Linked DNA regions of Cricetulus griseus. The protein of the gene in region 3 binds, or shares a complex with, the protein of the main gene of each other region. Links are inferred from orthologs where the notes say so. Each region holds a gene or a part of one and is shown on either strand. Other genes may lie near its edges.

Region 1 (4,109 bases), on a different chromosome or scaffold from region 3:
ACATGATAAAGAAACTGAGGAAAGAAAACACAAATATTTGTACAGATTCTTAACAAAATATGGCAGAAATATCTGCCCACTGCATTTTATTGTTCTTAGCTTGATGGCCTAATTTTAGAGGTCAAGGAATACAGGTTAGCCTGGAAGTATGGGACACTTTCAAGGCCTCTCATAGACTCTAGGATGTTGGGTCTCTCTTCAGCACCCCTTCACCCCAAGTCTAAGTTTACAAAAGCAGGAACCTGTCACCATCCCTTCTGATCTGTTTCATATAGAAACACAGCATAGGATGGATGTACACAGGAGCCAGAAAAGTGGTTGGGAAAAGATGAAGTTGGAAGCCAAAGGCACTGGCCAATAAGACTACCTGCAGGTATGCCTTTTCCCTCACCCGCTGAGTTCTGAATTTCTTTTCACTGGTCAAGAGCTAACTTTCTATCTCCTTGCTCTCTCCACTGCTTCCCCCTGCCTCCCTCACATTCACCAGACTCACTGTCACTCAAGGCACCATCCTGTTCTGTCTTTCACCAATGTCCTTCCACCTGACTCAGGTCCTCCTCTGCAACCCCCAGTCACTTCTCATAAGCCTCCTGTCTCAAGGCCATCAGAGAGACACAGCTGAAGCCATGTACCAAACCTTCACCAATCTCCCGCCTTATGATCAATTTCCTCTTCTCTGGGACAATTCTTCAGGTGCTCCATCTCAAATCTGAAAATGGTCCTGACTACTTCCCAAACAGGCTCTCCTGTTTCAGACCTCCACCCCCTTCCAGGTGCTCATCTCTCTTTAAAGTGTCTCCGCAACGGTGAATCCTATTTTACCGTATGTTCCGTTTGTCAGCTGAGGAATGACTTTCCAGGCAGACATATACAAATACTGGGTCAAAGTCTTCACTTGGGGTGACTTGGGGGTTCTCCCAAAGTGGGGTGTATTTCTTAATAAAGAAATAGCCTGTCAAAGAGGGGTTCTTAACTAGGGAGGCACAAAGCTGTGCGGTGAGCTGAATAGCTCACAGAGAGATCTGCAACAGGGAAATGCCTCTGCCAACTCTGCATCTCTTCCAAAGTGCATATTGTGTGCGTGGCAGGATCTTTTTCTCGTAGAGCAATCAAACTCGCGATGTTTCTGCTTACAGAGCTATGCCATCACGCTGGGCTTGCTCGTTTGTTTGTTTGTTTGGTTAACCTCTCTGGTTCTACCAGAGGTGGCTCCAAAACTCCCCAATCTTTTCTAACTCCCGAAGGGTGACTTCAGAACCAGCCTCTCCGCCCCTAGACCCGCCCCAGTCCTGTCTCACTTCCTCTCGGGGGGCGGGTCCACGGCGGGTATCTCCCCGCTGGACAGCTGAGGCGGCTGAGTTTCGTTGCTCAAGTCTAGGATTCACCTCCCGCCCTCACAGACCCAATCCAGGAATCGAAACTGCACCGGTTTCCATGCAGAAGGCGCCCGCATCCTCTGGATCTCCCTGCCTCCAGCAGGAATCCATCCTGACCTCTACGCCCACCATGCCTTCCCGGGAGGACCCCTCCGAAGACCATGAACACAGCCAGAGCCCCACGGAGGTACTACTGGGTTAAGAGATGAAAGCCTGTTAGGGTTTTATTTGTTTACGTTGGTGGCGAGTTGAAAATGAAGGTTTTTATAGAGAAGGTAACTTAGTGTCCTAGAGAGACACACACCAAGGTCCTGACCCTCCTGTGTGGGCAGGGGTAGGAAGGATAGCATAGAATAAAAAGTTACCAGATTGAGTTAGGGAAGCCATGGGGATAGTTGGGTTGTAATGAGACGGGCCACTCCTACCCCGCAGAGCCTTGTCCTTTAGCTTCTACCTCAGATGAAAAACGTCCAGGGAGAAGGCCAGGCCAGGCCAGGAGTCCCGTTTGCTCTAGCCTGGAGCTAAAGGCATGCCCCAAACTTGACAAAATAATTTACTCCCCTCACCTGCAGCTGTGGTAGCACATGGCAGGAGCAACAGTACTCGAGATACAGGTGCTGGAGGATGGCCAGCCTTTTCTACAACTACAAAGAGTGTTCAAGACTGCCAAAGGCGACACAACAGGACCCGGTTTCAAATCAATATAAAAGAAACAAGTAAAACTTGGCCTCAACCAAAGTGTTGTCATAGCTAAAACCAGGGTGGCCTCTCTTATTTCTCTTACTGATTTTCATAGATTTACTTTATTTTATGTATATGAGGTTTAGGGTTTTTTGTTTCATTTTCTTGAGATAGGGTCTTGGCAGGACTGGAACTCACTGTGTAAACCAGGCTGGCCTCAAACGCGTAGAACCACCTGTCTTTACCTTCTGAGTGCTGGGATTAAAGGTGTGCACCCTTTAATGCCCTTCTCCTGTCACTTCTCTTAAGGAAGCTTAGTTCTTGGTTCTTCTGGAAGTTTTACCTCCACCTGCCATACTTATCTCCAAAGAAACTACTTCTATCCCTTTCGTCTTTATTCTTTTTCCCCCATCCCCTTCACAAAAGCTCAAATAACGTCACATTGCCATAACTTTTTAATTATTAGCATTATATAACTAAGGATTAACAATACTAGTTAATATTTATGGGTATTTCTCATGTGCCAGGCACTATACTGAGCACTTTGTACCCTTTAGACAATAGCTATACTTCCTGTTTCTATGAACTTAACTATTCTTAATATAAATGAAATTGCACAATATTTCTCACTTTATGGGAAACGTGCTTCACTTATAATGCCTTCAAGGTCCATCCACGTTGTTGCATGTAATCAAAATTTCATTCCTTTTAAAAGATGGATGATATTCCATTACATGTGCAGACACATTTTGTTGATGCATTCATGTGCTAATTGACACTTGGGTCGCTGTGACTATTGTGGTTAGTGCTGCTGGGCATGTTAGTATATAAATATCTGCTTGGAATTTTCCTCCAGTTCTTCTGAGTATATATGAAAGATGGAAGTTCTGATCATGTAGTAGATCTATGTCTAACTTTTGGAGGACCATAAGCACTTTAAATGAGGTTGGTACTTTAGTGAGTCCCTTGCCAAGGGACCTGAGTCCCTTGAAGGCAAAGATGTATCCAGTCTTGTATCTCAGGGCCTATTAGTGAGTTTAGCGGTAAGTAGATAGGTTCCCGGTAAATTGTGCAATGAGAGCTGCAAGGCCTGGGTAAATGAGGAACTGGGGTGCTGATACGCCAGAGCATAACCCAGTGACTTCCCTGGAATGGAATGCGAGGTCCTACCCTTTCCAGCTTCCTGAGACCAGTGGGGGAGGGGGAGGAGCAGGACTCCTGTACTTTCTGTAGGCCTCATTTCCCTCTTTGATTTACCAGCAAGCCATGAAGGAGGAATTCCAGTTTCTGCGCTGCCTGGGCTGCCAGGCCCAAGCCAAGTGCCCCAAGCTGCTGCCTTGCCTGCACACGCTGTGCTCTGGATGCCTGGAAGCGCCGGGCTTGCAGTGCCCCATCTGCCAGGTGCCTGGGGCCGGCGCTAATGCAGAAGCCCTAGATAACGTGTTCTTCGAGAGCTTGCAGCGGCGCCTGGCGGTGTTCCGGCAGATCGTGGATGCGCAGGCAGCGTGCACCCGCTGCAAAGAGTCCGCTGACTTTTGGTGTTTCGAGTGTGAGCAACTCATGTGCGGCAAGTGCTTCGATGCACACCAGTGGTACGTCAAGCACGAGGCCCGGCCCCTGGCCGAGCTCCGTGAAAACTCAGTTTGCGAATTCCTCGACAGTACGCGCAAGTCCAACATCTTTTGCTCCAATTCCAACCATCGCAAACCTACGCAGACCAAGTAAGTGGGGCATCTTGGAGCCAAGGGTGGGAGCTTCAGGCAGCTTGTCATTCAACATGGGGTCCGCTGGCTTGTAGTTTCTAATGCCCCTCTGAAAAATATCATGGCGCTGCGGAATCATTCTTGCACCCTTACCTAGTACGTCTTTAGTACAAATTTTTTCAGAGTGCCATTGCAAGTGAGGTGTAAAAACAGTACGTTTTAATACAGGCCACCAAATTTTAGATGTCTTAAGAATGGATATTTCCTCAGGGGCCCCAGGAAATCTCAGTAAGGCTGGGTGTTAAGATAAGGAGCAAATAAATGGTGTCCGAAAAGTCGAAACTATGTC
Region 2 (4,209 bases), on a different chromosome or scaffold from region 3:
ACCTTAAAACCTTCTTCCTATTGCTCTCAGCATGAGGCTCACAACGCCTGTCCCAGGGGTCAGTTGCACTCTTCTGGCCTTCGTGGCCATCAGACACACAGGGTGTAGATGCATACATGCTGGCAAAACACCCGCACACGTAAGACAAAGTTCTTCTGAGTAATTGGAATTATTGCAAGAACAGAAGTGACCAGACAGCGTAAAGCTCATGTTTATGTGTATTCATTATATAATGTATTCTGGTCATTGTCACCTCTATTGTCACTCCCCCACCCCCCTCTGGCTCCCATGGAAGCCCCCACCCCCACTCAGCACTTTTCTCCATCTTCCAGCTCTTACATTTATTCTTTCAACCTCCTAGTCTTCCAAGTTCTCTCAGAGCCTAGGACTTGCTGTCAGCTCGTGTAACTGCTGTTTAAAAGTCTATCTATTTGACTTTGTATGGGTGTTTTGCCTGCATACATGCATGGTCATTATGAGCTCGCCCTACTGGATGCCCGGGGACTGGGGCTACAGATGACTGCTTCACTATGTAAAGGCAGGGTCCCCCTTCTCACTTTCCCAGGCACTCACATTGTGCACAGAGACTTACAGGGACACACACACACACACACACACACACACACACACACGAGAAAATAAATAATTGTGGAAAAATAGGGAATCTTTGGGGCTGGAGAGATGGCTCAGAGGTTAAGAGCACTGGCTGGTCTTCCAGAGGACCTGAGTTCAATTCCCAGCACCCACATGGTGGCTCACAACCACTTGTAATAGGATCTGATGCCCTCTTCTGGCCTGCAGGCATACATGTGGACAGTGCACTCGTACCTAAAAAAAATCATTAAAAAAAAAAAAAAAGAAGATAGGGAATCTTCATTTCAGGCATCCACTCAGGAAAACCCATTCTGAGAAACCCACGGATAAGGAAATTATATTCATCATCTTCAGATGATAATCAATGATTAACCATTGAAGAACTTCCTTTCCCCATTTAAATGCCGTAAGCTAGTTGGGGCACCGGACAGGAGGCGGGGTGCGGCAGGGTGCTCACCGACCCGGCTTCCCCACGGGCACCCCTGCGGGCCTCACCTGCCGGCCCCTTTTCTCCGCAGCTCTCCGGGAGGAGGAGCCTCCCTTCGCGTCCCGGCGCTGCCAGCGGCGGCCTGCGAACAGTTCCTCACTTGTGCAGCTGGCTGAGCTCGTTGGTGTGCACGCGTGTGAGCGCCCGGGGCGGGTAGGGCGAGCGCGGGCGAGCGTGGGCCGCCAGGAGTGCTCGCGGCCGAGACTCGCGAGGAGGGAGCGTCAGGCTGCCCCGCAACCCGGGGCAGGGACACCCGCTTTCACTTTGTCGTTCCCTGGAGCCCGCTCCGTAGGTGCCCCGCGGGGGCGGGGCCGGGGCCGGGGGCGGGGCCGGGTCCCTTCCCCTCGCAGGAGCCGGGGCTCGCCCAGACGGCGTCGGGGAGGCCCGAGGCACGGAGTTCCTGACTGGCCGAGTGGCTTCGGGCCGCTCCGGGTGCGAAGAGCCCCACGCCTTCCCCGAGGAAGGTCCGTACCGCAACATGGCGCGCCCCACCTCCCCGGGCTCCGCCCCGCCTCCCCGGGCCCCGCCCCCTCGGGCGCCGCGAGCCGCGTCCTGGGTGGGTTGGTCACGCGGCACTTCCGGCTCGTGGGGCGGACCGCGTTCCGTACAGCAACATGGCCGCCCCCAGGTGTGGTGGGCGGAAGCTCCGCGGCTTCCGGTCCGTCGTGGGGCCTGCGGGGAAGGGAAGGCGGAGGGAACCATGCGAGGTTCTTTGATCCGCGGTGAGGACGGCCTCGAGAGACCGTTTCAGAGGTGGGGGCCGGGCCCTCGTGCGCGTTTCGGGGTGGCGGTGGCAGTGGCGGTGGCGGAGGCGGAGGCGGTGGCGGTGGCGGTGGGGCCGGCGTGGCGAGAGCGAGGGGCCGGCGGGGCCTGGGGGCCGCGGGCTGCCTTGCTGGCAGTCGAGGGGAGTGAGGCGGCCTGGTCAACGGGGGGAGGGGCTCCTTGGCGGGAAGCTGAGCCGGGACCGGCGCGGATGGGGCGGGAGCCCGGGTGCCAGGCGTGCTCGGCGGGGGGCTCGCTGTCGGTTACGGCCGCGGAGAATTGCGGGGCGAGCCGGGGTGCGGTGAGAGGGCGGGGACTCGGGGTGAAGGTCTCCAGCCCTCAGGTCCCGGGTTGAGGAAACCCGGTGGGAGGTGGAACGCGGAGGGGACTGGAGGAGGGGACGGGCTTCAGCTGGAGTCAATGAGTTGGACTTAGGGTGGTGGCTCAAGCCTTCTAATCCTAGCGCTCGGGCGGCAGAGCTCTTGAGTTCGAGGCCAGCCTGGTCTACAGAGCGAGTGCCAGCATAGCCAGGGCTGTTACACAGGGAAACCCTGCCTTGAAAAACAGAAAAAGGGAAAAGCTCGAAGCGCTTCCATTGTGGTGTTTGAGGGAGACGGTGGAACCGACAGGGTGTTGGGTTTTGTAGACAGGGTCAGGGGAACTCAAGAGGCCAGTGTGGACGTTGTCCTGGGATAAGAAGAAACTTCCCAGCTGACACAGAGGGGAAAACAAAACTGACAGACCGGAAATTGACGGAGGGGTGGAGTTCAGGGTGGGGATTTAAGATGATCCGGAGGTTTGCTCCCCAGAACTGCTTGAAACTGGTAGTTGTTGAAGACGGGCTTTGAAGAGGGTTAGGGCAGGACTGAGGGTCCCTGCTGGGGTGGGGCTCTGCAGGAGGGGCTCTTCCTGTGGTCCCCTTGTTCTAGAATTCTGACTTTTCCAACACTTCCTCCCTTAGGGGGATTTGATCCCCCATGGCCTCCGCTGACAGCATCATTGTGCTGGATGACGACGATGAAGATGAAGCAGCTGCTCAAGCGGGGCCCTCACAGCTCCCCTCCAGTCCTGTCTCACCAGGGCCAGAAGCCTCTGGTCCCTCTGAGTCCCATGGGAATGGAAGAAGCCGTAACTCAGGTGGCAGGAAGTGCTACAAGTTGGAGAACGAGAGGCTGTTTGAAGAGGTAAGCTTCAGAGAAGGCGCCTTTTGTTTTTGAGACAGGGTCTCACTGTGTCACCCTGCCTGCCTGGAACTGTCTAGATGAGGCTGGCCTTGAACCCACAGAGTTCCACTTGCCTCTGCCTCCTGAGAGCTGGGATAAAAGGTGTGAACCACTATGACCTGACAGGGAAGATGGAAGGAAAGGGGGATTGGCTCTCTTGTTCTGATTTTCCCACTAATTCCATTTTTTTTTTTAAATGCCTTCCTGTCTCCCACCCTTTCCACGAACTCTTCAGTTCCTCGAACTGTGTAAGGTACAGACATCCGACCACCCTGAGGTGGTTCCATTCCTCCACAAACAGCAGCAGCGTGCCCAGTCTCTGTTTCTGGCCTCTGCAGAGTTTTGCAACATCATGTCCCGGGTTCTGTCTCGGGCTCGGAACCGGCCAGCTAAGCTGTATGTCTACATTAATGAGCTCTGCACTGTTCTTAAAGCCCATTCAAATAAGAAGAAGCTGAACTTGGCTCCTGCACCCTCCACACCCAGTAAGCCCTCTGGTGATAACCCTCCCACAGAGTCCTCCTCTGAACTTACAAATGCTGAGAACACTGCCTCCAAGGCCTCAAGGACCCGTGGTTCGAGGAGGCAGATCCAGCGCTTGGAGCAGCTGCTGGCGCTGTATGTGGCAGAGATACGGCGGCTGCAGGAGAAGGAGTTGGATCTCTCGGAGCTGGACGACCCTGACTCCACGTATCTGCAGGAGGCCCGTCTGAAGCGGAAACTGATCCACCTCTTTGGGCGGCTGTGTGAGTTGAAGGACTGCTCCTCCCTGACTGGCCGGGTCATAGAGCAAAGAATCCCCTACCGTGGCACGCGCTACCCAGAGGTCAACAGGCGCATTGAGCGGCTCATCAACAAGCCAGGGCCTGATGCCTTTCCTGACTATGGTGACGTGCTGAGGGCTGTGGAGAGGGCGGCCACCCGGCACAATCTCGGCCTTCCCCGACAGCAGCTCCAGCTCATGGCTCAGGATGCCTTCCGGGATGTGGGCGTCAGGTTACAGGAGCGCCGACACCTCGACCTCATCTACAACTTTGGCTGCCACCTCACAGATGACTATAAGCCAGGTAGGAAGCTGTTGGGATGCCTCCTAGGGGTCCTTTAGGTTACGTGGGCTACGCCCCTGACCCTGCTTTCTCTTTT
Region 3 (4,152 bases):
AGTTTGAGGCCAGCCTGGTCTGCAGAGCAAGTTCCAGGACAATCAGGGCTACACATAGAAACTCTGTCTTAGAAAACAAAATAAATAACCCCTAAAATGTTAGCATACTTTTTCTTCAAGTCAAAATTTCTAAAAGTAGCACTATTTCACACTCTTGCATATTGCTTTACTGTGTAGCTCAATTAAAAAGACTTGTTTTGGGCCAGGTGGTGGTGGCACTTGGGAGGCAGAAGCAGGCAAAGTGAATTCCAGGACAGGCTCCAAAGCTACAAAGAAATCTTGTCTTGAAAACAAAACAAAACAAAACAAAAGTTTGTCAGGTATTGTGATGCACATCTTTCACTCCAGCACTCAGAGGACAGAAGCAAGCAGACCTCTGTGAGTTCCAGGCCAGCCTGAACTACAGAATGAGTTCCAGGGCAGCCAAGGTTACATAGTAAGACCCTATCTCAAAAACAAAAGAAAATCCCAGCACTTGGGAGGCAGAGGCCAGCCTGGTCTACAGAGCAGAGTTCCAGAACAACCTCCAAAGCAATACAGAGAAACCCTGGGGGGGGGGGGGGGGAACAACACGGGACAAAAAAAAAAATAAACAAATCACACATGGACTAGCCAGGTATGGCATAACTCTAATCCTCCCTACTCTGCAACGATAAGTGAGGGAGGAGTATTTATTCCGAGTTCAAAGACACCTTGTGCTACAGAATGAAGTTCAAGAACAACCTAGGCAACATAGTGAGACTAAGTATAAGAGATTCGGATCTAGCTCAGTGGTATAGTGCTTGTCTGGCATGTACACATGTGAGCCCTAAGTTCAGTGCCCAGTAACAAGTACTACACCCTAGTGTGGCTTCACAGATCCCCTGAAAACAGCCTGTGTCCTAGGTTCTCTTTTCCTTTCTCCATAATCTTTTTTTTTTTTTAATAGTTTTTCAAGACAGGGTTTCTCTGTGTAGCTTTAGAGCCTTTCTCCATATTCTTAAATGATGTGAGTTCAAACTAGAGCAAAAATAATTTTAAAATTTCTAACTGTATGTTGCCCTTCATCAGGCTGACATGCCTTCTAGTTCCTTCTAAAATAAAAGACTGATGAAACTAAGCATTTACAGCTCATCTTTCCTCCCTTACTCGGAACTATCTGGAGAGATATTCATAAACGAATTTCTATCCAGATTAAACAGAATTAATCCAGATTATTTATAAACAAATCTACCCCACAATTAATCTACATTATGGATAGGCTACAAAAATAGAACCATATTATCCAGGTGGTGGGGAAGCATGCCTTTGATCCCAGCACTCAGGAAGCAAAGGCTGGGAATCTCTGAGTTTGAGGCCAGCCTGGTCTACAGAGCAGTTCCAGGTTAGCCAAGGCTACACAGAGAATCCTGTATCGAAAAACAATTAAATAAATAAATAAATAAATAAATAAGATTAAATTAAAAGAAAACAGTTCAACTACACTGTGGTGCTGAATGAAAAGTTTACTGAATAATTATCATTATAGACAAACGTCAAAAAAAATTTGAAAATTCAGTCCTCTAAGCAAACAAAAGGAAAAACAGATAAAAATCCTATGTATTAAAACTAGCCACAAACGTGGTAAACAAAAATGGGATGAAGGAAATTAAGGTGGCAGTATTCCTAATTTGAATGCCAATACCATGCAAATTCTTAACATTAATACGGAGACACAGCATTTTACTATTAATTGGCAGCTTTCTGTAAACATTCTGCAGCTGTAAATATTCAGTTTTTCTATTTTCCTCAAAAATATCACCTGGAAGAGGGTGATATGGAGGTGCATATAACCAAGATACGTCGTTTACGTGTATAAAATTGACTATGTTAAAAAAAAGTGCCATTTTTGAAAATGTAACAATCATAAGCAGGCTAATGCCCAGATGAAATAAATGGCTTGTTGGTGGTGGTACTCTAACCTAGTTTCGTTTGTTTCTCGGTTATTCTGAACTCTCCTACAACTAGAGAGTTGATGGACCAATCCCGAGTAAGAAATGGAAAGTACAGAAAAAGAGCCGACCGATCCGCACCCCCCAGATGGAAAAAAAAAAAAAAAAAAAAGACGCAGAAGGGAGCAGAGGCGGACAGGCCCTCCCGGCAAACACAACGGAAAGCAGCGTCTTCTGGGTCCCAGGAACCTCAGGCCAGGCTTCCTCTCCGCCCCCCACTCCGAGACCAAGAACCCAAAGTGGAGTGGAGCAGCTTTTCGGGGCTACCTACCCTCCCAGTCAGGGATTCCCTCCCGTTACATAACTAGGCCTGGGGCCCTGTTTCTGCCATCGGTCCTCTGAAGGGAAACGGTCGATTTCTCTTAGGTTGCTCTCGGGGACAGAGGAGCGGGCCTGGGCCCCCGGCGGACCCGCGAGAAACCTGGGAGCCGTCGAGAGAGCCGCGGCGCGGGGCAGCGGGAGGGGGGCGCGGGGAAGGCGGCGGAGGGCGGGTGTTCCCCGGAGCCCCGCGGTCCCGGGCGGCTGGGCCCGACTCGGCCGGGCGCTCCGCGTCCCTCGCGGCCCCCTCCCCAGCAGCAGCCCCCTCCCCCAGCTGCGTCCCCTCCCCCGCGCCGCGGTCCCCGGGCCCAGCCAGCGGCCGACAGCTCTGAGCCCCGATGCCCTGGCCCAGTACCTGGTCAGACATGGTGATGGTGGCTTCGCCCGGGGGTCTCCGCACCACAGCGGCCTCCGGCAGGCAGAACCTCACTCTGAGGTTTACAAATCTGTCTCTTCCCCACAGCACAACACCGCGGCTGCAGGGACTTCCGCTACGTATTGCGTCACTTCCGCTGCGCGCAAAGGAGACTTTGGGAAGACGGGAAAAGGAGGCGGGAAAACGCCTTGGGGAAAGGCCTTGGGGCGTCTGACCTGTAAAATTGCTTGCCCGGAGCAAGAGAACGACTGTGTGTTCTGCCGCTGGGAGACCCGGCCGGCTGCCTCAGCCCCCTAGGGAGACCAGGGCATCGCCACCAGGCTGAATGTTTGGGGTCAAACCGACATCCTAGACTCCTCCCTCTCGGACACCTTGCGCGCTTCTCCGAGCTAAACCAAGTTCTTTTGTCTGCTCCCAACCTTACTAACCGTCCCTAAATATAGGGAATCGCCGGTATAATATTTTTATTACCTTCTCTTGTTTGCTGCCAGCACACTCATGACCTTGATTTAGGACCACAACGAAAAGACGACCCCTTAGAACACATATTTTTTGTTTTTATTTTTGTTTTTTGAGCAACCCTGGCCGCTCTAGAACTATGTAGATCAGCCTGGCCTCGAACTCACATAGAGTCTCCTACCTCTGCCCCCAGCTCTAGGACAGTTTTAAGAGCTGTAGATGACTAAAATGTTGAAAGTTTTTAAGTTTGAAGTTATAGGCAGAAGGAGCTACCTCCAACCTATTAACTATTTGCCTTTCGTCACAGAAAGACCTAAAATTCTTTGACTACCACGACCTTCTTGCACAGGCATTAAGTGTGGATTACGGATATATAAGTAAAAAGAGTAAAATTGAAAAAATAATTGTTGTGTGTGTTTTTCCGATACAGAGTTTCTCTGTGTAGCTTTGGAGCCTGTCCTGGAACTCTGTAGACTATTCTAGACTCTGCTGCGTTAGAGGCATGTGCCACCACGCCCCCCAACCCCCGGCAAAAATGAAAATTCTAAATAAATCAATAACCTTTCACAGTATAAGACGTTAGTAAAAGAATCTTTTCGGACTGGAGAGATGGCTCAGAGGTTAAGAGCACTGACTGCTCTTCCAGAAGTCCTGAGTTCAATTCCCAGCAACCACATGGTGGCTCACCATCCCTTATGAGATCTGGTGCCCTCTTCTGGTGTGCAGATATACATGGAAGCAGAATGTTGTATACATAATAAATAAAATCTATTAAAAAAAAAAGAATCTTTTCTTAGGGGCTGGAGAGATGGCTCAGGGTTTAAGAGCACTGACTGTTCTTCCAGAGGTTCTGAGTTCAATTCCCAGCAACCACATGGTGGCTCATAACCATCTGTATTGTGATATGGTGCCCTCTTCTGGCATGCACTGTATACATGATAAATAAATAAATCTTTTAAAAAATCTAGGAAGTCTTTATTTAAAAAAAAAAAAAGAATCTTTTCTATAGTTAGTAATGAGGCGACTAGA

What was found.
Region 1: the proteins of Sumo1 (region 3) and Pml are in contact, whole or in part, in a crystal structure (PDB 8DJI), measured with the Homo sapiens proteins. The link is inferred for Cricetulus griseus from reciprocal best matches to the Homo sapiens genes SUMO1 and PML. Residues at the interface, in NP_001005781.1 of Homo sapiens: Gly19, Glu20, Tyr21, Ile22, Lys23, Ser32, Glu33, Ile34, His35, Phe36, Lys37, Val38, Lys39, Thr42, Lys46, Leu47, Ser50, Arg54, Glu84; in NP_150241.2 of Homo sapiens: Glu554, Arg555, Val556, Val557, Val558, Ile559, Ser560, Ser570, Ser571, Ser572, Arg573.
Region 2: the proteins of Sumo1 (region 3) and Daxx are in contact, whole or in part, in an NMR structure (PDB 2KQS), measured with the Homo sapiens proteins. The link is inferred for Cricetulus griseus from reciprocal best matches to the Homo sapiens genes SUMO1 and DAXX. Residues at the interface, in NP_001005781.1 of Homo sapiens: Lys17, Glu18, Tyr21, Ser32, Ile34, Phe36, Lys37, Val38, Lys39, Thr41, Thr42, His43, Lys46, Leu47, Ser50, Tyr51, Arg54, Gln55; in NP_001135441.1 of Homo sapiens: Glu731, Glu732, Ile733, Ile734, Val735, Leu736, Asp738, Ser739, Asp740.

Annotation. Positions count from the first base shown.
Region 1 is NC_048597.1:169,852,343-169,856,451, reverse strand, and holds the start of Pml (protein PML), read left to right. Parts: upstream 1-1,309; 5' UTR 1,310-1,434; coding exon 1,435-1,563; intron 1,564-3,317; coding exon 3,318-3,778; intron 3,779-4,109.
Region 2 is NW_023276806.1:232,098,472-232,102,680, reverse strand, and holds the start of Daxx (death domain-associated protein 6), read left to right. Parts: upstream 1-1,409; 5' UTR 1,410-1,545; intron 1,546-1,679; exon of another isoform or gene 1,680-1,834; intron 1,835-2,804; 5' UTR 2,805-2,820; coding exon 2,821-3,027; exon of another isoform or gene 3,028-3,168; intron 3,169-3,301; coding exon 3,302-4,133; intron 4,134-4,209. UniProt on the Homo sapiens protein: Transcription corepressor known to repress transcriptional potential of several sumoylated transcription factors. Down-regulates basal and activated transcription.
Region 3 is NC_048595.1:413,930,895-413,935,046, forward strand, and holds the start of Sumo1 (small ubiquitin-related modifier 1), read right to left. Parts: upstream 2,801-4,152; 5' UTR 2,656-2,800; coding exon 2,644-2,655; intron 1-2,643. UniProt on the Homo sapiens protein: Ubiquitin-like protein that can be covalently attached to proteins as a monomer or a lysine-linked polymer.